Linked DNA regions of Mus musculus: regions 2, 3, 4, 5, 6 and 7 are each reported to be linked to region 1. Evidence: microRNA targets listed by miRTarBase, many of them from high-throughput screens and not tested one by one. Region 1 holds a microRNA gene; each other region holds the end of a gene's coding sequence.
The links. The annotated mature microRNA mmu-miR-155-5p reads UUAAUGCUAAUUGUGAUAGGGGU and lies in region 1 at 3,113-3,135, shown strand. An mRNA with a match to its seed (bases 2 to 7 or 8) in the 3' UTR can be bound and repressed. Matches are read on the target gene's strand: a 7mer-m8 pairs with bases 2 to 8, a 7mer-A1 pairs with bases 2 to 7 and ends in A, and an 8mer does both.

Region 1 (4,524 bases):
ACCATTTTAATTGTCCAAAATATGACCTTCTTTTCACCTAGTGGCTTTAAAACTAGAATTTGTGTTACTCTATCAATACACAATCATGCTTTTCCAAAGAAGTGGATATTCATTCACTTCAGAACCTCAAAGGAACAGTTTCCAAAAATTTGTATATGTCAAAGTGAATAGCTAGGGCTGTCCCACATGGTATTGGTGAAAAATACAACCACTGGCTTCCTATAAAGAAAATATTTCATCATGCAGTTTCTTTGATAACTCTCGAATGGTTGGTGCTAAGAATAAGCCAGACAAAAAAATAAGCACATAGATATATACACATGTATATACATATATATATAATTGTAGGAGGATCTAATTCATGATTTTCTTGCTTGTTTGCTTGTACGTATGTTTGTTTGAAATACAGTCTCTCCCTATATAAACCAGAGTAGCCTGGAACTCCCAGAAACCTTACTGCCTCTGCTTTTTGAGTGCTAAGATTAAGGGTGTGTGCCACCACACTTGGCCTACAACTCATGATTTTAACATAAAGTGAGACCCTCATAAAACAAATGGAGTCATTTGAGAGAAAAGGTGGGAATGAATGCAGATGTCTTTGATAACTCAATCAGAAACTTAAAACTGGTTACAGTGGCAAAGTTTGTTTGTATGTATGTATATGTGTGTGTATGTATGTATGTATGTATGTATGTATGTATGTATGTATGTATGTATATGTGTGTATGTATGTATGTATGTATGTATGTATGTATGTAGATATATGTGTGTATATGTATATGATGAAAGTTGAAGATGAGTATGAATATGATGCCCTTTCTTACAGCTCCAAAAGTTCATCTACCCTACTCTGTATGTGTGTGTCTGTGTGTGTGTGTTATATGTGTGAGATACATGTGTGTGTGTGTGTTACCACAAAAAAATTACTAAAAATAAAAAGATCCAGTATAGGACATATTCTTCTCTGAGTACCTTAGCTGATAACATTTTCCCTGGCAAATCAGCAAGACTAGACAGATTGTGACATTCTATGCCTCCCTTATACCTCAAAATATTATCCTGAAGAAAAGTCTAATTATATTCTCCTGGAATGTCCTTAGGTTTAGGCTATACCACAGAGAAATGGTGATATGCCACATAGTGAATGGGACCTGGACTTACGATTTGTCTGAACTAAATATAGTGCTTAAGGTTGGTCGAGATTTTTACCTAAGGTCAAAAGAGTTGATTGCAATAGCAATTCCTAACATTATATTTTATTATTTATTGAGACGGGGTCCAATATAGCCCAAGCTGACCCCAGAGGTGATAAGTAATTGGGAACAGCCCTGAGCTCATGATCCTCCTAAGTCCATCTCTCAAGTCCTGAGATCAAAGGCTGCACCAGTGTCCATGTATGTGGTACTTGGGAATCAAACCTAGGCTTTTCATGTAGATAGATGATAGATAGATAGATAGATAGATAGATAGATAGATAGATAGATAGATAGATAGATAGGTGTGTATGTGTGCACACATGTATGTATATATGTAATATACATATATATGTATATATGGCTATACATATATATGTATATATGGCTATATATATATAGCCAGATGTGGTGGTATATGGCTATAATTCCAGAATTTGGGAGACTGAAGTGTAAGGTCATGAGTTCAAGGCCAGCCTAGGTTATATAGGGCAACCTTGGCTACCTATACTAAATATATTCTTGGTAATACCTTTATTCAGATGGTATCTTTAAAGGATAGAAACAGAACTTATAGATAAGTTATTTACTTAAATTGGAATGGGGTTATGTAGGCACTCATGCACACATGCACAGTTGCATATATTCTCCCTAATGGGTCAATAATATGGCATGAAGTAGAACACTAGAATCTTAATAGATTTACTGAGGACTTACTGAGTTCAATGCACTATGAAGAGAAAAGGTATTATTACAGTCTTTCTTTTGGCTGAAATAAAATCCAAGATTGAAACTGTGTAATTCACAGACTTTCCTCATGAAACCAGCTCATCTGAGAAAACAGCAAAGTTTAAAAAAGAAATACTATCAGTAAGTATGATATATTTCCTTGGTTTGGAAATTTCCAAGCCACGATATTCTGCCCTGTCAAAATATATTCACTGGGGAATTTTTAACTTGATGCATTTCTTTTGAACTTAATCACATTTCTACATCTAGCTGGTTTCATTATTAAAGAAAAGAAAAGGTGGTTCCCCTCTGGTCCTAAAGGGAACCACAGACTTGAGTGATGCTTGAACTTCTAGGTTCGCGTACAGTAACACTGAAACCAGAAACTTGTGGGAGAAATGTCACTTTATCTGAGAGAGTAAAATCCAACTCTAACAGGAAACAGCAAATTCATCTTTTTTCTTTTTCTAAACCACTCTGCTGGAGACAAGTCCCTTGAGTCAGAGCTCTTTAAGGCGCACTTCCTTTACATGGGTCAAACTGAAGCCACCGGTTTGTGAGTCCCCAAAGGAATCACTGGAGGACAACAGGAGCATTTTCAGATACCTTTCAGGGCAGACCTGCCCTGGCTGTACCCCCTATCTTGAAGAAAAAGAAAAACGAATAAGGTGAAAATCGCAACTACTATTTATAGAATCAAAATGGGTTCATCCATTGAGTTTTAACTTTCAAAAATCATAAAGTACCATCCTAAATATCTGAGATTTCTTGAATTGCCTAGTGACCTGTGGGATGTACGTCAGAATATTACCCAGAACTGAAGTTGTGTCCTTTGAACTTCAGCATTGTAGAACTATGAACCGTGGCTGTGTTAAAAATGATACATGTATTCAAATATTTCCACAGAATTTAAAGTTTGATTTTATAATTAGTTTTTAAATTGCAAACCTTACAAAAATTTTCCAAAATTTACTTAGAAGCATTTCAGAGCTCTTTTCTTTCAAAGCTGAAGTCTACCTTGCCTTCAGATTCATAATCGTTCACTCTACTTTATAACTAACTGTGTGCGTACACACAACTATTTCTTTTTCTCTTTGCAGGTGCTGCAAACCAGGAAGGGGAAGTGTGTGGTTTAAGTTGCATATCCCTTATCCTCTGGCTGCTGGAGGCTTGCTGAAGGCTGTATGCTGTTAATGCTAATTGTGATAGGGGTTTTGGCCTCTGACTGACTCCTACCTGTTAGCATTAACAGGACACAAGGCCTGTTACTAGCACTCACATGGAACAAATGGCCACCGTGGGAGGATGACAAGTCCAAGAGTCACCCTGCTGGATGAACGTAGATGTCAGACTCTATCATTTAATGTGCTAGTCATAACCTGGTTACTAGGATAGTCCACTGTAAGTGTTACGATAAATGTCATTTAAAAGATAGATCAGCAGTATCCTAAACAACATCTCAACTTCAAGCCCACATGTTTATTTTTTATCTTGAATGGAAAGTGAAACTTGTATCATTTTTATTTCAAAATTATGTTCATAACCATCTTCAATGATTCAACCAGAATACAAAATGAATGCACTAAAAAGGACATTTCTATATTTCTGTAGTTAAAATTCAGGACGGCCATTCTCGACTGACATCTAGGATTGTCTGGAATACCTCTTGTAAGACTTGGAATTGGCATTTTTTCCACATTACAATGTATTAGTCAACTTTGATTTAAAATTTGTAACTCTTGTGTTTTAGTGTAAGGAAAAATTTAGGGTTAGTGTTAGAGTTTAGGGCTAGGTAAGGAAAAACTGAGTCAACACTGAATGATTTTTTTAAAATCTATGAGCCAGCTGTTGGTAGTTTACTCCTTTAATCCCAGCACTCGGGAGGCAGAGACAGGCAGATGGCTGAGTCGAAGGCCAACCTGGTCTACAGAGTGAGCTCCAGGACAGCCTTAGCTACACAGAAAAATGCCTTATCAAAAAATTAAGAAAATAAGATGAAGTATTAAAAAGTGACATGACAAATCATTCCTGAGGGCTACCTATATATTCCTCACACGGTATAAATATTTAATTTAATTAATATTTAATTTCAAATATTCACATTTGAAATGAAACCCAAATCTGGGTTCAAGCTTACTGCTTTAGCTGCACAGTAAAGCTGTGTAGTAAGGAGACCCACGTTTCCTACGCATTTCTTCATGAATGCGGATGAAACTTTACAAGGTTGGTGTGCAGCTCACTGGAGATGAACAACTCTTTGTAAGGTAATAAAATCCCACAGTGATGTCTTAAAGCCAATCCAAAACTCACCCCGTTGCCTGACATAGGTAATAATTTGATATACAGAAGTTTAATGTTTGAATTCCTATGCAATTTTTCTCCACAGTGATATCACTGACGAACACATAGACAGCTGGACTTGTTATATTTAATTTATACCTGTTCTTTTTTTTTTTTTTTAAAGACTTTTTATTTATGTATATATATGTATATATATATTTATGTATATATGTAAGTACACTGTAGCTGTCTTCAGACACACCAGAAGAGGGAGTCAGATCTTGTTACGGATGGTTGTGAGCCACCATGTGGTTGCTGGGAT
Region 2 (4,524 bases), not on the chromosome of region 1:
CCAAGACACCCTCTATCTGGGGTGGTACCTGGTGTAGTTTGTAGCTCAAACCCAAAAGTTTTCAGTGTATGACTATGGTTTGGGGGAGAAGAATATTCTAAGATTCTTGTCTTAAGTCTTTAGAAAGTCATTCTTATTCCCAGAATTCCCATTCCTGGTTCCCTACTTACTCCTTCACAAACAAAACAGACCTACTATGTAAGTTTTAAACATCATGTCCCTCCCCCAGGCACTTAAATCTTATCCTGCTGTTTGTAAATAGTACTCTTTAGCTTAACACTTAGGAATCTGGTGAGTTGTCTTTTTTTTTTTTAATTCCATTAGCTAATTAGAACCCAAGTCTAATTAAAATCCAGCATCAGAGGCTGCTATAGAAGGGTCTGCTTAGGAAGGCCTTGTCTGTCATGTCTTAGGATACTGAGTTGCTTGGAGTCTTTGAAATAGCCTCTCACTTCTGCTCATTCTCACAGCCCATTGCATCAAAGACATTTTAAAGCTCAACTCAGTATGCAGTAGTCAGCAACAGCTTTGCGTCCCAAAGAACTATGCTCACTATATACTATATGCATATAAAAATAGATTTGCTAGAGATGTACAAAGTTCAGTGAACTTTTCTAAACAACAAAAAAAGCATATGTTCTACTAAGTTCCATCTGGTTCCCTTTTCAATATGTCTTATATTTTTTAAAGTTCTTTTCTTCAAGACGAATAAAACTATAGATATACTTTTTTCCCTCTCACTTTTCACTAAGAACCCAATATTCAGAATAAATAATCAGAAGAGGGAGATGAAGTCCTTGTTCACTTTGTGGCCCTTTCATTCACCCAACTTGGTGTGAGTTCTGCTTCTCACCCTTTCATCTTGGTGGAGAAGTTAGGTCAGACCTAACTAACCAAGAGACGTTGTTCTGTGTCTCTACTGGACTGTGGCAGTCTCTGTTTTCCTGCCAACATTTACTCATGTGTGCCTGTGCATTTGTGCATCTGCGTGCGTGTGAGTGTGTGTGTGTGAGTGAGTGTGTGTGTGTGAGTGAGTGTGTGTGTGTGTGTGTGTGTGTGTGTGTGTTGTTCCACAGTAATGAGTTTAGATATTTAGAAGCATATGCATTGCAGTGACCCCCTTGTAGAGGCATGGTCAGGGTTGGGGCCTCGCCCCCTGTCCTGGCTGAGGTGCCTAGTGCCATGCAGGGTATGAGCTGACCCTCAGTGTTCTCCCACAGTGGGCTGAGCCTGCTTCTCTCCACTCTCCTGTCCATGCGGGGTAGCACTGGGGTGAGCAGGGCTGGACTGCGTTTGAGATGCTGCTGTGTCAGGGGATGGCTGGTTTCTAGGTGAGGCGGAGTGAGTTTCACGTGGGGCACGCTGGGCTCCACCAGCTGGAGAGGCTTCCCGATTCTCACTGGTCCCCTGGAAGGAAAAACACATGTTCCATGGTGTTTGAGAAAAAAAAAAAAAACAAATCCAACCATTATACATATTTTCACACAGCTAATGTGTGGTGATGTCTCAAAAAGCCCACTTCAGGGACCAACGCATAAAGGAATAGGATAGACATCTTACCTTTCATCTCCTTTCCTATGTGCAACTGCCAAAGCCGCATGAAAAACACAAACACTATAAGCAGACATACCTATGGCTAAGGGAACATTTGTATCTGTGTTCTTGTCACTGCTAGGCAAACAACTTTACATTTACATATACGTCACAAATATTTACAGAGTACCCCAGCCCTGTGGCAAGTCACCAGGCAAGAGCCATGGGATACCTGAATGCTAGCTATTGGGAAGGCCACAGTATTCAAGAGCCAGGAGACACTGTATAGTAATCAGTAAACAAGGACCCTCAGCCTCAAGATATCTAGGCAAAGAATGCCTGTGAGAGAGTCCTAATGCACACGTAGGATTTCAAAATGAGTACTAATAACTAAGCAAGACAGAGCAGGGAATGCACACAGGTCTTTGAAGCCAATGGGAGCGATCTGAGAACACACACAGTACCCTTAGTAAATGCTACATTGATTATACAACTCAGGGAACAGGATTATTTCAGGATTTTTTTTCTTCTGAATTGATGTTCATTTCTATTTCCTGTAGTTGAACTAAAAATTTTTTTCTTTCATTCCCCTGATTCTGAAATGTAGTTACCTCACAACAATACAATAACATACCTGTCAGCTCTTACTAATTTTAACTCACACAAGAGGGCAAGAAAAGCAAACTTTAATGCTGCACAGGCTTCTGGGCATCTGTAAAAATGAGGATAAATTCACAAAGTACTGAAAGCATTGCCTCTCCTGGGTATCGGGGCATCCTTTCCCTGCGTCTCCTTCCTGCTTTAAGCTCTGGAAGCCTCTGAGTGCTCCTCCATCTCACGTCCAGTCCTGGCTTGATGAATGAGTAAACTGGATTATGCACAGAGTGGCACGAATATGGCTATCAGTGAAGTGTCAGTTCAGGAAAACTATGCAAAGACTTTCCAGGATGTTTATAAAGCTGAGATTCATTAAGGTAGTTGGACAAACTTGCTTTTTCTTTTATGAAGCTTTGTCTTTATTTTGAATTATGTGTGTGCATGCATGTTGGCGGATGGGCACCTGCACACGAGCATCATTAATGCCCTTGGAGAGAGAGGTACATACAGCTGTGATGCTGGGCGCATCCTGGATGCTCAGAACCGAACTCAGGCCCTTTGCAACAGTAGCAGACAACTGTTGGGCCATCTCTGCAATCACCAGTATTTTGTCAAATTTTTAAAAAAGAAATTACTCTTTATTTTCCCTCTTATTTTTCCTTTTGAGTCTCTTTTTAAAAATCACACTTATTTGTTTTTGTTTCTTTGTTTGTTTGTATTGTAGTATAAGTGTGCCATGGAGTGGGGATGGAAGTATAAGGACAACCTGTGGGAGTTGGCTTTGTCTTTCAGCTATTTGGATTCCAGAGATCAAGCTCAGGTCATCGAGCTTGGTGACAGGTGTGTTTACCAACTGGGCCATCCTGCCTGCCCTCCTCTGGGTCCTTTTAAGCTACTGTAAATATAAAGCTGGCATTACTTATCAAGAAAGTGGAAAGATTAATCTAACAGTGGAGTAGATTTATGGCTTTGACCAAACTGTTCACAGAAGGCACATTCTTTTTCCAAAGTCAGGGTATGACTTTATTTCTATAATTGCTGACTTTATCAATACCATTTGACCTTTTTTTCAGGAAAGCCTTTGGGAACAGAAAAGAACATGCCTCTACCTCCCAAGTGAGGCCTCTCAGAACCAGACTTCCTGAGTAGGGTTATCAGACAGAGCCATATGAGGCATAGCTTAATGGGTTAATTTAGCCGCTGTTTACTGCACTCCTGGTATGTGTAATGGTCCCCTGGAATTCTGATTTATAGAGATTAGGAAACACAGTTTCTGAAAGCAAGAGCTGTATATTCCGGCTGAAAATTGTAGTATGCAAAGCTGGAATAGATCTTTTTTTTTTTTTAATGCCTTTGTGAAGCCTTTTTGATCTCCATAAAGCAGTCTCTTCCTATGCTACCTGGTAAACACTGTGACAGAGTGATCGCAGACCACTGATATCCTTTGCTAACATGCCTGTTTTTCTGTTTCCCATGTGTTTTGATGAACAAGGAGGGAGTAACGGTGCAGACGCCACGCTAGCCCAGCAGAGGGTTACCTGTAAAGGTTGTATCTCAGAAGCACGGCTCTCTCTTGTCAGTTGAATTAGCTCTTTAACTTGGTAGAGAGCATAGACAAAGGTCACCCAAGGCGAGGAGCTGACCCCCCAGGCCGGTTTATTTACATCTTCCTGCTCTTCCTGGTGCTTGGTTTTCTTGGGCGGAAGTCTGGCCTCAACGCGTGGCATGACATCTTCTGTCTGTTGCTGTACCAGGTCAATGGTTGCTATGGGAACGGGACTAGAGGGAACTGGGATCCTTTCTGCCAACATTGTCTTGTCTAGAGAGAAAATAATGTTAAAATGACTTTTTGAGTTTTCTACATGTTTCAAACAACGGTGAAGGAGAAGACCGTCCTGACATGGGCGTGCACACCTTGGACCTTATACTCCCAGCCAGAGACTGAGAACCACCCCTGGTCTTTGTCCAGTGCTGCTCAGTGAGACTGAGATGTTCCTCTGAGGTTCTGTAACAAGCAATGTTCTCTCTTACTAGACCACCTCATGTCCCGAGACCGGGAATATTGAAGGACTGAGAATCCAAGATGCAGCTTTGTGCTGGCCCAGAGTGACCAACAACATGTGCCTTCTATTGGTTGACACTTTTCACCAAAAGTTTTATATCACCTGACTCATGCTAATTTTTTAAAATCAGGACTAGAGAGATGTTTCAGATATTAAGGGCTAGGCTCCTCAACTAAGATGTCAAAAAATTGTATTATTTATTTAGTGTGTATGTGGTGTTTGTAGGAGTGATGTAGAACACAGGTGAAGGCCCAAGAGGACAACTTAAAGGCATTGGTTCTGTCTTTTCACTGTGTGGGTCTCTAGGATTGAATTCAGATAGTCAGGCTTG
Region 3 (3,000 bases), not on the chromosome of region 1:
GTGCTCTTATTTCTATTCTCAAAGGTCAGTCTGGGGCCTGTGTACAGAATACAGTAGGGAAGGCTGATCAGAAATACTCTTACAACGTACAAAGCACAACAAAACAAAATACAGAAAGTACACAGACCCACAGCTAGCCCAAGCGAGGCAGAGCTCTGGAAAGTTCTTGACCCAACATCATAGTAATCTTAAGTGACAGTCACACAAAGGGTTCTGGGATGCGTAAAATGTCTACCCTCAGAAGGCGCAGCTGTCCTAGACATGTGGACAATAAAAATTCCATCCAATGGACATTGAGAAGAGACACCCAATGACCACAGGAAGATCTTCACTGCGACCCTCCTCAGTGATAGGGATAAACTTGAAGTTATTCCAGTAGATAACCTGTAGCATAGGTCTCCAGAACAGCAGGACCCTTCTAATGCAGAGCTCTGTGAATCCTCTCCCCTCCATGCACAGCTGTGAGTCCCCTCCCCTCCATGCACACAGCTCAGTGAGTGGGATGCCAGTTTTCTGAAAAGCTGCTCGCTCAGTGATTGCTAGATACATCCCTGCCTTCTTCCCACAGGGAATGTCTAGAGAACAGTCAGGGCATACTCACACTCACCATCCTTAAGTGGTACCCACTCAGTTCTTTAAATCCACTCAGGGTGAACTAAATCAGTTTTTAAAATCAAATTCTGTCTCACACTGCACAACAGGCTGTATGAGTGAGAAATGGCCAGGCAAGCAGTGTCTGTTCAGTTATTGTGACACAGTGGGGTATAAAGAAGACACCCTAGGGTCCCTTTGTACACAGGACACTTCACCACAATGAAACACCCACCACTACATGCTACCCACACCACCTCAAGCCCTAACCTGGAAGGGAATGCACCCCTCCAGAGAAAGTCCAGTGTCCGGTAAGACACTCCCACCCCCAAGTCACAGAAGCAAGCGGCCAGCCTTTCTGCACATACTAAGTTGCTTTTATTAATCCAGAACGGCAGGCATGCTACAGGTACTGTACAGCATGGACATTTAATTCATTACAAAATGGCTTCAAAACCATTCAAAAAAATGAACTTGGAATAAGCATCGAACAGAACAGCAACACCACAACTGTTAGGGAGACATTCAAAGTATTCACAAAAAAAAAAAAAGAAAAGAAAATGTTATAGTTAGCATTTTAATAAACCAGAGAAAACCGGAGACAGTTTTACAATCGCTTCATGTCAACTACGATGGCACTGAAGGAACAGGTCTCAGCTTTATACAGCATTTTACAACATCGGCATGCCTAGGTTTTCTTGTTTTTAAAGGTCACTACCTACTTGTATGTAATATGCATACATAAAAGCGGCAGCTGGGGTTTTTTTTTTTCTTTTTTTCTTTTTCATTTAAGAGTAATCTAATATACAGGATTTTTTTTGGCCCTTAAGGGTTTAGACCTCTTCATTTAAAATGCTTTCTGGACAGTCTGCTACCAAACACATTTTGTTATAGGTGACATTAAAACTACATACAAATCTATCTATGTAACATCACAGCAAAACATGGCGAACAGAAAGTACAGCATCAAAAAGGAGGGAGAAAGCTAAAGTCACTGAGAATTTTGGCACATAAAAGTTTTGCACACGGTCAGTCCATGTTCTAAGAGCACAGGGCAGTTGACTAGGAGGTCAAGGGGGAAACGGGGCAGTTCCCACGGCTGCTCAGACGGCTGCTCAGACCCTCTCGCTAATGTTCAAGTCTTGTTTTACAGAATGGCTTTTAAAGCAAGTTTTGTTAATGCTACTGATCCTTAATGCGAATGTCAATGTCCATTTGGTGGCATCTGGGTTTTATACAGAAACAAACAAACGAACGAACGAACGTACGCCAAAAAAAAAAAAAAAAGGAAACAAAAAAATATATACACATTTTATATATAAACTTAAAAACCTTGTACAAATGAGTTGTTATATATAAGATGCTTACGCTAAGGTTGGGGGGGACTTTACACAGTTTCAAAAAAAAGGGAAAACATATTTAAAATTGGACGGACATACAGGTACAGCAAGCAACCTCTAAAGCAATAAATACTACTGGTCCAACAGTGTTGATTCCATTCATTGTTGAGTGGTGTCCCCTCCCCCCCAAAAGAACAACACCATGGAACAAGGTATATTAACACATTTTAACCCTTTGTTTCTGTACATTTAAACAATAACAAGTAACATCAAGGTAAAAGTTGTTTCACACTGGGAGGAAAAAAAAAAGAAAGAAAAAAAGAAAGAAAGAAACGGCACTGCATTCCTTGTGCCCTCGTGGTTTAAATACCAAGGTGTAAAGTGATTGGTTCGCAAGCTCGTATTTAATACAAATAACACAGAACCAACTCCTTCTGGAGGGTGCTTCAAAATTGCTTCTCTCTCTTTTTTTTCTTTTTGTTTTTTAAATCAGTCTTTTAAAACTAAGCTATCCGAACTACATAACAGTTATGTATATATAATATATTTTTTAAACGCTACAAAGACTTTAAACAGCTGTTGATAAAAATTTTGGTAGAATCATGAGGTTTTTCTCATCTACATATTTAAAAGGAGAAATTGAAATAAGAATGGGTCAAATATTGACCAATGAACTCCATAAACATTAACTCATGTAGCCACGGCGGCACAAAATTAAAGAGTACAAAACAAAAGCTTTCCAAGCGGGGAAGGGCGAACCAAGAACCAGAAGGAAACACTTCAATCAAGCAGGGGCATGGAGGACGAGGAGGCGGAGCTATTCTAAAGACTTGGTCACCAGAGACAGAGGCTGGGGTTGCGTTCCAGCCAGCGAGTTGTGGGAATGTAAGGAAGAAGTTGATGGTTGTGCGAGCGATGAGGAAGGGACCATGGACGGCTGCAGAGCGGCAGGTGGCAGGTCCAGAGCCCCATTGGGACAGAGGGCAGAGGCCTTGCCGTGGGCAGCTTCGGCCAACAGGAGCGCGGGTGGCGGAGGCATCATGGACAGGTGGGCCAGAGGATCAGGCTT
Region 4 (4,524 bases), not on the chromosome of region 1:
ACATGCAACATTGCGGATATGCATTTGGAAATCTGCTCATTAGAGACCTGTCACTAATACTTGCTAAAGACGGTGTTGGGAGCATCAGTTTGTCTGCCTGTCTTTACTAGGTGAGGTCTAGAACGGTTGCCGAGTGCGTAGCCTTCTACTACATGTGGAAGAAATCAGAACGCTATGATTACTTTGCTCAACAGACAAAATTTGGAAAGAAACGCTATAACCATCACCCTGGTGTTACGTAAGTATAGTCTTTGACTTGAGTGACTGCCATGTTTACCTGTGATGCCCAGTTAAGATTATGGTGCTTTCTTCAGGGACTACATGGATCGTCTCGTAGATGAGACAGAGTCTCTGGGTGGTACCGTCAGTTCTTCAGCCTTAACTTGTAACCGGCCTGAGCCCGTTCCTGATCAGCCGCTGAACATTCTCAGCTCCTTCACTGCCAGTGACCTGACAGGTAAGACGAGGCTGCGTGCACAGCCTGCTGCAGGCTGCATTCTGTTGTTGCAGAGCAGTGACCTCTCACTTAAACTCCTTTCCGTTCTTTTTCTAGCTTTAACCAACAGTGTAGCAACTGTCTGCAACCCCACCGCTGTGAATTGTCTGGATGACAGCTTTCCTCCGCTGGCCAACACGCCTCGTGGACACGTCAATCATGTGCCTGTCGTAACGGAAGAGTTACTCACCCTGCCCAGCAATGGTGAAAGTGATTGTTTTAATTTATTTGAGACTGGATTTTATCACTCAGAGTTAAACCCCATGTGCAGCGAAGAATCCGAAAGACCAGCAAAGAGATTGAAGATGGGCATTGCTGTCCCCGAATCCTTTATGAATGAGGTTTCTGTAAACAACCTGGGTGTAGACTTTGAAAACCATACACATCACATCACCAGTGCCAAAATGGCTGTCTCTGTAGCTGACTTTGGCAGTTTGTCTGCCAACGAGACAAACGGATTCATCAATGCCCATAGTCTGCATCAGCACCAGCACGCCGCCCTTCATTCAGAGTGATGGGAACGGGAAGCCCAGAGACAATGGGTATGCAGTACCAGTAAACTGAAGGGGAGCTATCAGGTTTGCATAGTCTTTCACTGGAAGTTTGAACCTTTTTCACTATGACATCAGTGATGTCAGTATGTATAGAACTATATCTTGATTTATCAAGAGTATTTTCATTTTTCAATCCATAAATGTGGAAATGAACTATGATCCGCAGAGTTGGGAACTAAGATGGAGCTCTGTGGTGCAGCTTTAAGCTCTGCTTCTCCTCATCCCTTAGTACCTCTTCCACGGCCTCCTTTTTTTCTGTTCCCGCCGCCCTCATCCCAGATTTAAAACCTGTAGACAGAGGCCACCAGCTCAAACCAGCACAGATGTTCAGAACTGATGTGGCCTCTTTTCATGTCAGCTCCTTTTGCCGTAACGGATGCAGTGGGATCAATGTTTACAGGTACCAACCCCGATCCCTGTTCAATGTAGCATTATTATTATTTTTTTTTGTTTTCTTTATTAATAAAAGCAGGGGTAGGTTTCTTTAAACTGCACAAACATGCAAGGATTTTTTTTAAAAACAGAAACTTCTCTCATGTTATTCAACTAGAGCACTTCAGTTTACAAAACAGCAAGACCATCTGTCTGGAAGCCGGCGCGAGGAGCTGTGTGCAAATGAAGGAGACACTTGCTTGGATCCTGTTTCAAAATTCCAGACCAGGGCTACCTTACACAGAATTGGTCATTGTACTGCCGGGGGACTTCTGTGTAAACTTTTTTTTTTCTTTCTTTCTTTTTTTTTTTTTTTTTTTACAAAAAAATTGGCATTTGAAGATGTGGTATTCATATGGGGTTTTGTCCACCATTGTCAAGATTGTAATATTAAAAATCATACTGGTCACTGGTAATTTAGTTTGTTCCGAGGCAATTGACTTGCAAGGCACAGTCTACAAAGCCCAGGAAGTTGCCACAGTGGTTTACATTTTGGGACACCTTGTTTGGAGCACTGCAGTTCAAAGTGTTAATATACTTAGACTTCTAGATGGTATACATAACGCAGACCCTTGAAGCTACTTTGTTTAGCTCAAATAGTTGGAAAGAAAACTGTGAGTTTCTGTCTGAAGTAGAATGGTACGTTACCACTTTTAAGTTTTAAAACGTGACAGATGTTCACGTGCATCTCAGACGTGATTTCACTTTTATTCCAAACATGAGTAAGAAGCCATTGTCATAGCTTTGACCATTTTTGCTTTATTAGACATGCTCCTTTTAAGTTTTCAGGTGAGTCAAACTCTACAACACAGTGTTAGGATATAAGCTTTACTTTTACAGTTAAAACAATTACTTTTTGCACCGTCTTAATTAAATATTTTGATTTTTTTTTTTATTTTCCTAGTTGTGTTGCTGTTTATAAGTGTGAGTCGCTTCAAGGTCGTGCTGAAGAGTAGGTAGGAGGTAGTGGTCCTAGTGACTGGACGGGAGGGTATTTATTGCACAAACTGTGAACTGCAATGACATCCTTGCTTTTGGATGGTGTGTATTGTTTTCCTTTGCAGCATTTTAATGAAGATTGCTTTGAAGTGTTTACGCAGTAGCACATTAAGTATAAAATTTAGTTTAGCACAGAGGACAAAGGGTAGTTAAATTAATAACTTAAAATCAGTCTTTAACTTATACATCTAAAATTGAGTATTCCTGTATGCACACAGTAAACAATGGGTAGCCTGGGCTCCATGTTGCTTTCTAATACTCTCCAAGTGGTTAGCTAGCTTTTTATTGCTGTGCTGTGCTAAACTTTGAACCTTGGTTTTTTCGTTCCCTTCAGTAGACTTTCTTTAATGTAGGAGGATACCGGGCATGTTCTTGCATTGTTAAAACTATATTTTTCACTCTGGGTTTACCGTGGCTGGTCTGTATAAATGATTTATACAAAGATAACTGAATGCTAATACCAGTTGCACTTACATGAAAATGCCCATTCTCTTTGGCTGGCACAGTTTATCTATGCATCGCTGGGGTCTTGATGTAAGATGGAAACAGTGTTTCTCATCTAGAGTTTTGATTATCAGCAAGTTGAATGGACACTTTAGTTATTTAAATAGAGTTTTGACCAAAATCCAGAAAAATGATATGAGAGAAATAAATTCCAGCTAGTTTAACAGATTTTTAAATGCTAACTGGATTTTAGCCTCTTAGAGAGTGCTACCTAGCTGGTAACGTTTACTTTTAATTCCTTGTTAAAATGAGGCAATAATTTGCAAGATTTTTGTATATATGTGTACAGTAAATTCTTCATATCTTTTTAGACCTAATTCAATATTTTCTGACTGCTCCTGTCATGTATGATACATTTTTGTGCATGCCTGATGTGACATTCATAAATTGTACCACTATGACTTTATCCATGTAAAATAGCTATTTATTGAATTTCTTCCAACAGCTGGACTTATTTTTTTGTCTCCATTTGAACATCTTAACAGAGAATTTGTTACTGTTTATTAAAAGAATTGAGTTTGAAAGCATAAAAAATCTGCTTTGCAATCGTATGAAGAAAAACAATGCCTTTATTATCACGTGTTAATAAGCACAATTCTTATAGCAAACGGTGATGAATTCTTTGTTTCTTTCATTTGCCGCAATATTTTCATATGAACAAACCAAAAATCCATGGTGAGCAGTGGCGGTGTCGGCTGGCCCATCCTGTGTGTCCAGGGCACTCGGAGGATGTGGACGTTGACGAGTGTGACCTGGTGCTGTGACTGGAGCAATACTTTACTTTCGTCACGTGTGCTTCGCCGTGCTATGCCGGCCTTTTAATGTTTAGTTTTCCTCTTGTCATGGTCAACTGCTGAATTTACTTGAAGGATGTAGAATACTATTTAAAAAAAAAAAAACACAAAAAACCTAAAGTCTGTACAATTAGGTCAAAGAATTGTGCAATCGCTTCCTTTTTAATTTTTAAAATTGAAGGTCACAAATATTTGCGATCAGACCTAATAGAGTAGTAGCGCTATTTAATTTAACCAAAGTCTAGTAAATACTTCAACGTTGAATGTAAGCTAACAACCCGACCACCAAGGAGATTGTCTGCCCAGAGTTTCAAAGCACATTGTCTACGAATGGAAATTGAAATAATTTATAAAATATTGACATTACTATGTTTTTTAAAAAGTTCCTAATTTTTTCACTAAAAGGAGGGAAACTATTAGTTTTATTGTTAAATATGGTAGATATTAATATTCCTCTTAGATGACCAGTGATTGCAATTGTCCCAGTTTGAACTAAGTACCCTGTGAGTATGAGGAACTAGTGACAATCAGAACAAGTTTTAGTATCCAGTGTTCAAGAGGAAGTTGCTATTGTTGCATTGATTTTAATATTTGTACATAAACACTGATTTTTTGAGCATTATTTTGTATTTGTTGTACTTTAATACCTGGTGTACAGTTCCAGAAATAAAAATCTGGGAATCTGTTTTCCTGGGTCGTGTGACTATTTACCAAAAAGTTTAAAACCAGTCTTTTTTTTTTTTTT
Region 5 (4,524 bases), not on the chromosome of region 1:
TGGGCTGAGAATGGGCGAGAGAAAATGCTGGGATTGTGATCCTGTAGGCCCAGATTTCTAGCTCAGCTCTGCTGCTTGCTGCGTGTGCGACCTATGATGCAGCCAGCCCGAGCTTCTGTCTCATCATTGGCAGAGCCCAAAGTGTGTACACTTTCTGGGACAAACTGATGTATATATAAGTTCCTGGTACAGAGTTGGTCCTGCCCTCTGTCTAGTCCCTGGCTCTGTGCATCTGGAAAGATGCATCCACTCTGATCGTTTTCCATCCTTTCATCCCAGAGTGTTGAATAAATGGTTGGTATATGAACGAAGAGATCTCTCTTCTGGCAGACATGAGAACGTGTCTCTACCCTGGTCCAGAAAGGATGCTTCCTACTGGTGGAAGCAGAGGTGCCAGCGCTCTCCTCCCATCCTCTCCCTTCTGCCCAGTTCTGTGCTTTCATTTTAAGGATGCCTGCTTATAATGTGGGCCAGAGGGATGTCTGCCCCACGGCTCTTCCTTTTCCTTCAAGACCAAGTGTTTTAACTGTATTCCAGAGGAGTTCAGAGTCACTGTTTGAACAAGTAAATGGAACTCAACACTTGGACACTTGAAATTAGAAGTTCTATTGCAGTCACATGTATGGGATAGGGACATTGTCCTATTGAGAGGAATACTCTGGGCTCAGAAAGACAGCACATATTCTCGCTTACATGTAGACACTGAATTGCTGATTCCACAGACACAGAGGATAAAAGAGTGACGTATCTGAGCATGGCCAGGAGGAGGCTAAGGGGTTGGGGAGACCCTGGTTAATGAGCCCAAGAATGCAGGTACAGGAATTGGCAACTCTGGAATCTCTGTGGTACTGTAGGGTGCCTACAGAACATTAGCAGGTATTTCAGAATCGCTAATGTGGGTTATTTTGCATGGTCCCCAGAAAGTAATGGGAAATGCCTGTGATTGAAGACATGCCATTTAGCCTGGTCTGATCACGACACAATGCACAGCTGTATTAAAATGTTGCATTGTTCTGCCTACATCTTTTGAAATAATCTCAGAATGTCCATGGCTCCTAACTATACATTCAATGTATAGTTATTATAAACAATTCAAAATATTTTTTAAAAAAGGAAATGAAGGAATAAGTCAGACATATGCACACACACACACACACACACACACACACACACACACACACACACACACACACATGATGTTTGTTTGACCACCATGATGGATGTGAAGACTTGTATAGACACTTGTATTTAATTTTATTTTTATTACAGGTGGCCAGGAGATGGGGAAAGAGGAAAAACAAACCTAAGATGAATTATGAGAAACTGAGCCGTGGCCTTCGCTACTATTATGACAAAAATATCATCCACAAGACGGCGGGCAAGCGCTACGTATACCGCTTTGTGTGCGACCTGCAGAGCCTGCTGGGATACACCCCTGAAGAGCTGCACGCCATGCTGGATGTAAAGCCGGATGCTGACTAGTCATGGACAGACGCGCAGAAGGAAGGGGCTGGGGGAACCCTGCTGAGACCTTTCAAAGAGCAACCCTGTTGGTTGGACTCTTCATTTTTAATTGTTATTCAATGTTTTATTTTCCAGAACTCATTTTTCACATTCAGGGGTGGGAGCTGAGGGAGCGCCGCTGTATTCCATTGGCCATTGGTGGGCCGGAAAGAGGAGGTCAGGACCTGCGGGGTGGGCGGGGCAATAGCTCCTGAGCAGACTTTCAGAAGGGAGAGGTCTTCTCAGAAGCCTGTTGGACCTGGCTTGCAGAGGAAAAAAAAACTTAAGTGTCCGTTTTTTTTTTTTTTTTTTTTAAATCAAAGAAAAAAAAATTCATCTTGAGTTGTGGATCTACTAGTGGGAGGAATGATCACATTGAGATGAAAGAGATTGATGAAAGCCAGTCAGTTTTGTGGGTGGGCTGAAAACAGTTTCTTCAGGGGATTACTAAACTCAAGAATTATTAACCTTTCTACTTTTTGAAACAATGATGGACTTTGATTGAAGGGGTCCAAAACTGTTTTTATGTTGAAGTTTATTTTATTAAATTTTGTGCCAGTATTTTTTTTTCCTTAAAAAAATATCGTCTTAAGCTCTAAGGTGGTCTCAGTATTGCAGTATTGTGAGTTTGTTGTTATTTGCTGGCTGAGGACTCTTGTCACAGTGAAAGACAACTGTTTATATAGACCCCATTGGAAAAATCCCAGTTCTGTACTGAGATCAGAGACCCCAAACTCTTACAGCTAAAGGAAACGAATGCTGATCTGGGGACAGGGGGACTGTGCGTGTGACTTCCACCTGCGGTTTGTAAAAACTGTTTTCCTTTGATTCACTGTCAGGCTTTGGACTTAGTGTTAGTTACGGGGCGTTAAGTCTCTGCACTGAATGTATTCTGCAGCTCTTCTATGGAATCGTCGGCATCATAGCACAGTTCAAGTCTTGGAAACGAAATCCAAGGAGCAGGATTAACCTGGGTTTTGGTTAAACCGCTACCCGAAACATGGAAGACTCAGAATAAAAGCCGTTTGCATGGGCATTACCCCGAGGGTCTTAAGGCCTCAATGCATGCCATTCCAAACTAACATTCTCAGTTCTCCTCTACTTTGTCTTATGTTCCCCCCGGCATCCCTCATTGCTGCCCCTCCCTCATCACTGATCAGTGAAAGTGGAGTGTAATGCATCCTGACACGTGACTGAAAGTGTAGTTTCAGCCATCACAACACAAATCCAAGAGTCCAGACTTGCTAGGGCTCGGAGGCCACGGCAGTGGAGAGGGTATTTCAGTAGCATGTGACTCGGCCTCCTTTGAAGACTTGGTGCTCGTCAGGTAGGATTTCAGGTGAGACTGCTTGCCGGGAAGTGGCAGGGAGCACTGGCACTTGACCTGTTACCACCTCAGCAGAGGGCAAGCCCAGGTCAACTGCGGTGAGAGGGAGACGGAGAAAATACAAGGGAAGGCGCTTAGGTAAGGAAAATAAGGTGGCCCGAGACAGTTAGATAGATGTTTAGTTTCCTCCAAGTTTAAACTCAGACTTAATTGAGGCAGCCATCATCCTGCCTGATGGGAGAGGAGACCTGAAAATAAGCCATTGTGGGTTAAAAAAAAAAGTAAGGAGACATGCCTGGGATCATTAGAATCCCTTCCACTGTATAGCTGCCTAGTTAAGACAGTGACAGTGACATCCCTGAGAGAAGAGAGGCAATTGGCTGAGGTGGGCCTCTCCAGGCTCACCCTTCGGGGTTTGTAGCTCCCTGGTATCATCTTCCAGGAGAGTTGATGGCTGACTCCCACATTCCCTTGAAGACTCTGAATTACTAAGACTATAACTCTTGTCCGTGGGTGTTCTGTACTGACTGAGTGGAGCATCCCCACAAGGAAGCAAAGGCCAAACATTCCAGCTATATATTTTGATCTTACAAATGCAGGTGCCTTAATGAAGCTCTCAAAATATTTAGGAGCTGCTCAGGGAGTGTTAGGTGGGATCATTTGGATTATGCTGTTTTCTCTTATGTTATGTGATCTTTGTTGGGCACTGACAGTGTGAGTGTGTGTGTGTGTGTGTGTGTACATTTGTATAAAGTTGCAGCTGAAATAGTACTGAATTTTCTACTTAGAGTCTGTTCACATTTCCATAATGGTGAATGAAAGAGTACAGCCGGGGCTGGTATTGTTGTTTGCTCTTTGCAACAGGGCTTAAAAAAATCACTTCCCCAAGTCTTCACCCTTCTCCATATTGGGTTCCTGCTGGGAATGCCCCTCCTGAGAGCCTACCACCTGCAGTCCCCTAGCAGAGAAGACATAAGAAAGTGTCTCCCACACTCCTCAGCGTGCTGACTTGCCTGCCTTGATGCCCTTTCTCCCTAGGTCCACCACTTTTCAGGATTTGTAGATAGTATATTAGTCAGACAGCTTTGTTGTCCATCTGGCCAGATGCTTTCCCCCATCTCCTCCGAAGGCCAGAGACCATCCCAGGAAGAGTGGCGGGTGGTTTATACACTGGAAATGTAGCAGCATTGCTGCATTGATGCTCTTTTAAAACACGTTCACTTCACAGGAAGGATGAACAGATCTGACCTAGCTGGGCGACTCCATCATTTTCCCAGAGAAATGCTTTAACCTGTGTGGCTGGCTTTGGGCTCAGAGGCGGGGCTAAGGATGCTCCCTGCGGAGAGCTCTGATGGTGTGGCCATGGAGACCTTGTAAGCATTCAGGATCAGAGATGCTCTTCCTCACTTTGGAGACCAGCACTCTGGGTTTTAAAGCATTAACCTTCATGGTGAAATCACACCTTCTCTCTCCTAGCCATGCTGTGCATGCGGCCTTCTCTGTTGGGGTCTATATAAACCTGTTGAACTCTTACGTACATTCCAAAGACGTTTCAAGGAACCACAAGTATATGTATACAAATACATATATGAAGTATATATGTTAAAGTGAATTTATCTCTATCAGGAATACTGCCTCAGTTATTGAATTTTTTTTAAGGATACTTTTTTTTTTAAAGCTGAGAATTATTGAGG
Region 6 (3,000 bases), not on the chromosome of region 1:
CCAGCTTGGGGAAATCCATGAGTTGATATGGTTTTCTTTTTAAAGAACACTTTAGAAAGGAATACTATGATTATGAAAATGTCTTGTGTGATACTTTTCATTTATAAAGAAGTTCACATAAAAGCTGCTTAGGAATCAGAATTGGAAACCACATTCCTTTCTCCATTAGAGTCAAATCATAATGGTATCATTACGTGCTAAGTGAATTGACAAGCAAACCACAAGTATTCTCACATAAAAAGATGACATCTTGATGGAAATTAAAATCAAGCAAAACAAGGTGATCACTGACAAGGTGAGACTAAGACACAAGCTTAGTGTCTGAGACTCCAAGGTAACCTGCATTCATCCAGCACCCAGTGTGTTAAAAATTTCAGTTTCCTGATGTGAAAGAGGAGTAAGATGAAGGCCTCATAGACTTTCAAGACTCTAGAATTCTAAATGTATTTGACTAAACAGGTGTTTTTGAAATTGCATGTTAAAAATAAGAACTGGGCCAGGCGAGATGGGTCATCAGTTAAGAACACACACTGTTCTTGCAAGGGACCCAAGCTCAGCTCCTAGAACCCTCTGCTCAACTCCATGACTACTGTCCACACTAGATTTACACACCCATAAAGACATTTACACAGGCACATGATCTAAAAGTAACAAAAATGTTAGTGCTTGTGGGCAGATTTTGTACATGGCATATCACTAAGAATGGCTTTACTACTCAATATTGGTTCTGTCTAATTTAAGTCCAATATTCTAATGGCTTTTTCTTAGTAACTAATTTGGTAATCACTATAGCCACCTTCTGTGTATGGTTACTACTTCTGTTTAAGCTTCTGCGTGATTATGCTTTGCTCCGAGTTTTTAAACTTTTAGTAAGAATAATTGCATTTCACCTTTTCCTTGGAAAATATTATTTAATGGATTTACATATATATGTTGATTATAAACTCTAGTCATAATCAGCTAGACACCTATGAAACAACTAAGAAGAACAGTCTTTTTCTACCTTTGGTATGTGTACAAGACTCCAGTTACAGTACCTGGGCTAGGAAGCTAGATTACAAGTAGTCTTGAATTGGATGCTAATACAAAGTATTGCCTCATGTGTGTCCTTCAGTGTATGTGGCAAAGGGCAACACTTCTGACCTTCCAGTAGCCTGGATGCCTGGACAAACACAAAGTCAATTGATTCTTTTTTGTTGACAAGGCTTTATCATATACCTTAACATATAAACATATTACCAAAAAGTGTTGTATGTAATATAAAGAAACTTTAATGACAAGCACTATGAAGTTGATACCGCATTAATTAATATACCAACAATTTAAATAAATGTTGCCCTTCCCTTCATAAGTACTTATTCATAAATTTATGTCAGCATCCATCTACTGGTTGCAGAACTATGGAGTAAGTATTCATCTACTTATTAAGCCTGTCATTTGTGGCCCAACCTGAGGCCTCAAGGCTGACTACAACCTCTATTGGAGTTTCACTCTTGCCATTTCAATGTTGGCATATCTTGTATGGCAAAAACTTCTAAAGACATCAAATTGCTAACTTTAAATATGCCTATTTTCAAAAATACATCCTCACTAAATACTTCTTTTTTACGTATATGATCCAAATTCATTGGCACGAGCGTTGTGTAAAATCTCTCCCACATATTTGTATTGTTCTCTGTGAGACATCTATTGTGAGCATGGCTACAGGCTGTCGTTTTTGTCTGCCATCCAGCACTTGCTAGCCAAGTGTTGTGTGCTAGTCATGGTGTCAGCCACCAGGGGAGGGGACATCTGCACTGCAGCCAGTCGGGTTTGTTGCTCCCTTGAAATTAAAAGCATATGAAACAGATACAGCTTCTTAAGGTTTTTTTCTTTATAAATAACATAAACTTAAATAACAAAACAATAAAATTCAAATACAACTTAAAGTAGAGTTTAATGCTGTAATCACAGAGGGAAATAAGCATGATTATTTGTGGGAAGAGCATTTACTAAAAGTTGTGTTCCCAAATGTGATTTATACAACAGATAGATTTACTTGAAAAAAATGTAAAGATTTCTGAAATTTATTTTAAGGGATTATAAAATATTATTTTGTGGTGAGATGAAATACAATATTATCATCATTATTGCTATTTTATATACAGATTTTTAAAACATCCTGTTAGCAATACCTTTTCAATTTGAGTGGATTTTTGTTCATATTAGTCAGTACAGGCATGTTCCAAGCCTGTGATTTTGTAAAACCACCTGTAGATTCTATTCTATAATAAAATGTTGAAAACATTCATTTTTCCGGATTATAGTTCTCACTGGAAAGCTTTCAAACACTGCTCATCGTCTGTAGTTTGTGTGGGGCTTGATCATCTGACAAAGCATCCCAGCAGCCTTTAGGTCTGACATACCTTATATAACATCATCTGCATTATTAATATTATTATAGCAGCCATTTTATAAGCAGATAGTGATATTAAATATTCATTATCAGATAGTCAAATCTAACATACTCTTAAGGGTAAATTAATTTAAGAAAAATATCACGTTACTAACATCATGATTGTACAACCACTTTTACAACTTTTTACAACCTTTACTAAATCTGATTTTTGTGTATATTCTTCAAATCTTTCTTTAATGCAGTCTTTTAAAATAAACAAAAATGCGCAAGTCCAGCTTGATCAGTTTTCAGTAGTTTTCCAGCCTTTCTTGGTTACTGAGAGAGAGAGAGAGAGAGAGAGAGAGAGAGAGAGAGAGAGAAGAAAAGTCCACTGGAAAGAAATCTCCCTGCTGAATGAAACTGGTTTCTCAAATACCATGTACACTTAGGTTATTGCCATAGGAAGAAAATGGGCTGTTTTTTGTTCTTTCTTCGTTTTCTTCCCTTTGACAGGAATCCCCTTTTGATTTAAGGCAACGAACATTTCCCCTCCGCTGTGTGTCCATTTAGCTGATGCATAGGTGTTATAATGGTTTTCCAGAATCAGTTCTTTGAAGTTGCAA
Region 7 (4,524 bases), not on the chromosome of region 1:
GGGTTTGAACCCAAGGTTCTGTGCTTAAAGGCAAAGTATATCTATGGAACCACACAGCCATTCCCTACAAATTCTCTAATGTCTGGAACTTCATTTGGGACATTAGCACTTTTCTGTGCATGCTGGTCTCACATTTGTTTAAATTTTCCAGATACTTAAGCTATGAGCCATTAGGAAACTGAGAACCAATTATTTTGTTTCCACAGGGCTCTCAACAGCATTAAACCTGATGCTTGTGTTTGTAAGTCTGCATCTGCATAAGTACTGACTCTGGATGGAAAAGCTTGGAAGACCTTGGTCTCACCATTTGTCTACATTTGTGTGACCATAAAATGCTGGGAGCATTGAGTTTTGTAATGATTTAATGGGTGAGGATTGCTTTCTCCATTAGAGCATTAAGCTATAACTATCAACATTGTAAACCAAATTGCCTTATTTTCCTTCCAAACTTCATATATCTATCAGGTAATATAGGCTTGAAAATTGATATCCTGTGGTGCTAAAGTACAGTAGAAAGATGTGTATACGTTTTATTTTAAATTGTACGAAGGGGAATTTAAAAATACGTAACTGCTGTTTATACATCAGCTCCTTACTGCTTATTAATCTGTATTGTACCCACGATATCAGGAGTGAAGCAGACGCTGGCCTTTCCATGAATAGCCACCACATGGCCCAGCATCTCTGCCAAACACAGTTGCTTCTAGTCTGGCCAGTGCCAAGAGACAACATAACATGGCAGGTGGATGGTGTCGGTGTCATTGTCTCAGCTCAAAGAGCCACCTGCTTCAGATACCATGGGCATGTGCTGAGTGGATGCACCAGGGGGCAGCACAGCTCCATGATTCCCAGTGGGGCCCAAGCCAGGCCAAGGTGCAGTCAGTTAATAGCATTGGGACAGTCATTGTAATGGTGCTGTTACCAGTCGACACCATTGTGTTTGACCGCGTTCCTGTCTCCTCAGCCACATACCCTCATCTGTGCTGTCAGTGTGTCTCTGGTGGGGCAGACTTTGCACTTACTGCAGTGCACCACTTGCACTTTACTCCCTCCGGCTTCTGAGACAGAGCAAGTACTTCAGCAGTCCTGCTGCTCTTGCTCTGAGCTACAATCATGGCTTCTCATGTTACTTACCAAGTGAGAGTTTTGGTTAGTAATCACAGCTGTAAAATTGATTTACACTTGTTAAACATATTGCCCCTCAATTTTGCACACTATATTCTTGTATATTATTTCAAATAAAAGGAAAAAAAAGGTCTGTCTTTGATTTCTGGTTGACTGAATTCATGATACCTATCAGTATAATCTGATTGGCAGATGGAAAACAAATTCTTGATAAAACTGAGTTCTGGTGTTATAAGTAGGTTTCTGGTGGGGTTTTAAAAATTAAAGAATGTTAACAATGGAGTAAAGACTAAAAAATAAGGCCCTGAGTGCCTGTTTCTAGTAAAATGACTGTAAAGAAACCCTGACTTCATTTAAAGCTGTAGTTAGATCCAGTAAAGAGCATTTAGCAGTGTGTCTGCCTCAGCCTTGGGCTCCGCCATAGTTACTGGGCTTGACTACATGCCCACATCACTTTGGGGTAGAGTGGCTCTGTCAGGTGTATACTCCTCAACTCCCTGCCGATGTGACTTCTTTCACTGGTTCGTTATGTGCTTAACACTAAAGAAAGTGGCAGGCTGGGAGGATACTGTCCCTTCATAAGCAGTGAAAATAATGAGCCAACTATGACAGCAAGTAAAATAGCCTTCCTCCATCGTCTGAGAAGGGGAACATAGGTAGCTTTATGAAAAAGCCATGTGGGTGCTATGTGAAGGCTGAGATGCTTGAGCTATTCTGACATTTAAAGAAAAAGTGCTGGAGGTAACAGAAAGAGGAAGGACAGAAAATCAACCATGATCTTTAGTTGTAGTTGCCACCTTTGGACGGGTCTGTTCATGGAGACTGCAAGTCACTGAAGAGCAGACATAGCCTTTTGAAGCAGCTGAACCATAATGGGATAAACTGGTGCAAATTCTTTACCGTCCCTGCTTCTCACTGACTGAACATAAGCTTCCAGGGCTCCCCTGTAAATGCAAAAGAAAACTGTCATAAGTCCAACAGTTTTGATAGCACCGATATGGAAACAAGACCGTCTGTTCCTGGAACAGCACAGTGCCACAGACCAGTGTCAACAGCCTTTACACGTGCATTAGAGCTACAGTGGCTGTGCCAGGTGAGTGGTGCAGTATGGCCGATTTCAGTCTTCATCTCAGTATGTGCTCCTTTCCTTTGTCCTGAAGGCACGTGAAAGAATGCACATAGCTGTGTCTCCCCCAGAGCTCAGCTAGGGGAGAAAAAGCCTTGGACACACATGCTCAGACAGACCCTTTGCGCACATAGTAAAACAGACAGGGCAGCCTACAGCTACAGCATTTTCGGGTTTTTAGTTTTTGGTAGGTTTTATGATGGAAAGTCTGAACTTAGTTAAGTACTTCCATGTGTTGCTGTGCCGTTGCTTTGATAATCTTTGGTTTGTACTAGGGACAGGAGACAGCAAATGGCAGCAGCATTCATGGCCCTTGGCTTGCTCCTTTATACCTAAGGTCATTTCCTTCCCACCACCACAGCAGAGCTGTAGGGAAGCTACAAGGCTACAACAGTGGTCTCCATGAGAAGACGTGTGTATGTTCGCCAAGTAAAGCTAAGAGTGGTTTGTAGTTTGTACTTCTTTATAAAGTCCCCACTGTTCTGCATACATACTCATTGCACGTCCCATTTAGCAATTCTGTTTATTCCCAAACACTAGAAATAGCCAGTGTTGTTCAGATGTGTTCTTTATTTGTGTCCATCTGTCTTTTAGACATTTTAAGTAACATTGCTTCTAGGTGTCGTTTGGTCAGCTACCAAATGCTTGGCATCGTTCTGTTCCTCTTTCCATCATGGAGCCCAGGGAACTGGTTCCCTTCAAACTCTCATTCCCATTTACATGGGATCAGTTACAAGGTCCTCAAACTCACCCCACCTATTTCACATCTGGCCCCCTGCCGACCACCTTGTTTCCCTTAAATGCTTTCTGTCTTGTTTGTAAAGCTGCTAGCTGGGTCTCTAGCATCACCTGCCCTTCACTGTTTGCAAGAGGAAGTCCCCAGGCAACCCAGCTTTGTTGGAAACAACTATGCAGCCCTTTATGCCACTTTGGGCTTCAGGGCAGTCTAGTGTAGCATGAAAAAGACCCACTTTGTACTTCACTTGCTGCAGCTAAGGCCAGCATCCAATCAGGGAAGAAATGGAAATAGTATATTTCTCCCTCAGATAGGAGTTGGCAGAGAACCTGTTTGGTTTTGACCATGCACATATCTTACAATTAAAGAAATGAGTTCATCTGCACACTTACTCTTATCTGTGGGACGAATGCCCTTTCTTGTGTTCTCCCTAGACGGCTCTTTATCATTTAGGGCTCAGCTTTAAAAATTTCCTCTGTCATAAAACCCTAACACTAGGTAGCAAAAAATTACCCTGGAGTCACAGATATGAAAATCCTGACTACAGAGTACCGAGCATTTTGAAATTCCTGAAGGCTGTGTTCAGGATATGAGGGAGTATGGACAGGCCATTACTAAGCCAACTTCTCCAATTAGATATAATCCTGTTACTGGTCATGTGCGTAGCCTCAAGTCCCATATAATGAGTAATCCTAGCTACTGACAGAAGTCAGTGCTCTTAGCATCCTTTTGTGGGATGGTCCAATGTCAGGTAGCAGAACCAACCCTTAAGGACTTACTTCTCTCTGTATTTTTTAATAAATTTGAAAATTGTTTCTTTGCCAATTGGCATACCAGCTTAGGCAGTTGCTCCAACTCCACAAATGTCTTCAAAGCCAGGCTGAAAAGGGCTCAACCATCTTGAAGCAGTTGGGTATGTGTGCATGCACATGTGCACACACATGTACATTTTCCAGTCTTAAGAAATAAGTGGAAAATCTTAGAAACTAATGTTCCATAGTGGACACACTGTTCTATTTACAAAGTGCACTTAAAAAAAAAACACTCTGCATTTGTAGAGCTAAGCATATAAATTATACATCACATTGAAGGAAGTTTAGAAGTAAGTTTGGTTAGATTTTTCTTTTGATATTCATCAAGAACACCATTAGAATGACAGTGAGAAAACAGATTAAGCAGCCCTCCCACATAAAATCAAGAGCAGGATTTGTAAGCATTTATTAAATTACTTCATTTGCTTCAGGAAAACATTAGCTTTCTTGGAAGTCAGGCAAGCATTATGTAAGAGGTTTGTAACCACACAAGACTGCTGAAGTTACCCTGACATAGGAAAAAGCAATGGGTTTAATACTAAAGGATTGGCCTGGGTTCATAGGTCACACTGTTAGGTGACACACCAAATAGGTGTTTTACAATTTGTCAGGCATTAAAAACTTCATTGTGATTAGTACTAAAATTATAAGTGAATTTTAAGGCATTTAAGATTTTAGAAACAGACAAGCTGGGAGAATAAGACCTAGCCTATGAGTTCTGGATA

Region 2: miRTarBase lists Mfsd6 as a target of mmu-miR-155-5p. Seed matches in the 3' UTR shown: 7mer-A1 at 3,475-3,481.
Region 3: the mRNA of Tcf7l2 is a reported target of mmu-miR-155-5p. Seed matches in the 3' UTR shown: 7mer-A1 at 1,784-1,790 and 8mer at 1,768-1,775.
Region 4: the mRNA of Mier3 is a reported target of mmu-miR-155-5p. Seed matches in the 3' UTR shown: 7mer-m8 at 1,478-1,484 and 7mer-m8 at 4,395-4,401.
Region 5: the mRNA of Ets1 is a reported target of mmu-miR-155-5p. Seed matches in the 3' UTR shown: 8mer at 4,265-4,272.
Region 6: the mRNA of Fgf7 is a reported target of mmu-miR-155-5p. Seed matches in the 3' UTR shown: 7mer-A1 at 2,632-2,638 and 8mer at 1,936-1,943.
Region 7: miRTarBase lists Hbp1 as a target of mmu-miR-155-5p. Seed matches in the 3' UTR shown: 8mer at 392-399.

What each region holds. Positions count from the first base shown.
Region 1 is chr16:84,711,031-84,715,554 of GRCm38, forward strand. It overlaps Mir155 (microRNA 155), which reads left to right and starts at 3,110; the gene lies at 3,110-3,174. Mir155hg (Mir155 host gene (non-protein coding)) reads left to right here and starts at 1,993. Exons shown (of 2, transcript NR_132106.1): 1 at 1,993-2,063; 2 at 3,023-4,215.
Region 2 is chr1:52,657,139-52,661,662 of GRCm38, forward strand. Mfsd6 (major facilitator superfamily domain containing 6) reads right to left here. Exons shown (of 6, transcript NM_178081.4): 6 at 2,848-3,949. The coding sequence ends at 3,522. Among named protein-coding and RNA genes, the nearest start is that of Nemp2, 29 kb to the left of the region's middle.
Region 3 is chr19:55,931,606-55,934,605 of GRCm38, reverse strand. It overlaps Tcf7l2 (transcription factor 7 like 2, T cell specific, HMG box), which reads right to left. Exons shown (of 15, transcript NM_001331146.1): 15 at 951-3,000. The coding sequence ends at 2,749. Among named protein-coding and RNA genes, the nearest start is that of Gm52391, 5.0 kb to the left of the region's middle.
Region 4 is chr13:111,714,131-111,718,654 of GRCm38, forward strand. Mier3 (MIER family member 3) reads left to right here. Exons shown (of 13, transcript NM_172593.3): 11 at 111-238; 12 at 315-457; 13 at 554-4,464. The coding sequence ends at 1,011. Among named protein-coding and RNA genes, the nearest start is that of Mier3, 30 kb to the left of the region's middle.
Region 5 is chr9:32,752,944-32,757,467 of GRCm38, forward strand. It overlaps Ets1 (E26 avian leukemia oncogene 1, 5' domain), which reads left to right. Exons shown (of 10, transcript NM_001372534.1): 10 at 1,270-4,524. The coding sequence ends at 1,482. Among named protein-coding and RNA genes, the nearest start is that of Gm3331, 28 kb to the right of the region's middle.
Region 6 is chr2:126,089,384-126,092,383 of GRCm38, reverse strand. It overlaps Fgf7 (fibroblast growth factor 7), which reads right to left. Exons shown (of 4, transcript NM_008008.4): 4 at 1,199-3,000. The coding sequence ends at 2,823. All of the region lies in intron 11 of Fam227b (family with sequence similarity 227, member B), which reads left to right. Among named protein-coding and RNA genes, the nearest start is that of Gm26496, 19 kb to the left of the region's middle.
Region 7 is chr12:31,923,190-31,927,713 of GRCm38, reverse strand. It overlaps Hbp1 (high mobility group box transcription factor 1), which reads left to right. Exons shown (of 11, transcript NM_153198.3): 11 at 207-1,259. The coding sequence ends at 224. Cog5 (component of oligomeric golgi complex 5) reads right to left here. Exons shown (of 23, transcript NM_001163126.1): 22 at 1,923-2,069. The coding sequence ends at 1,955. Among named protein-coding and RNA genes, the nearest start is that of Hbp1, 25 kb to the left of the region's middle.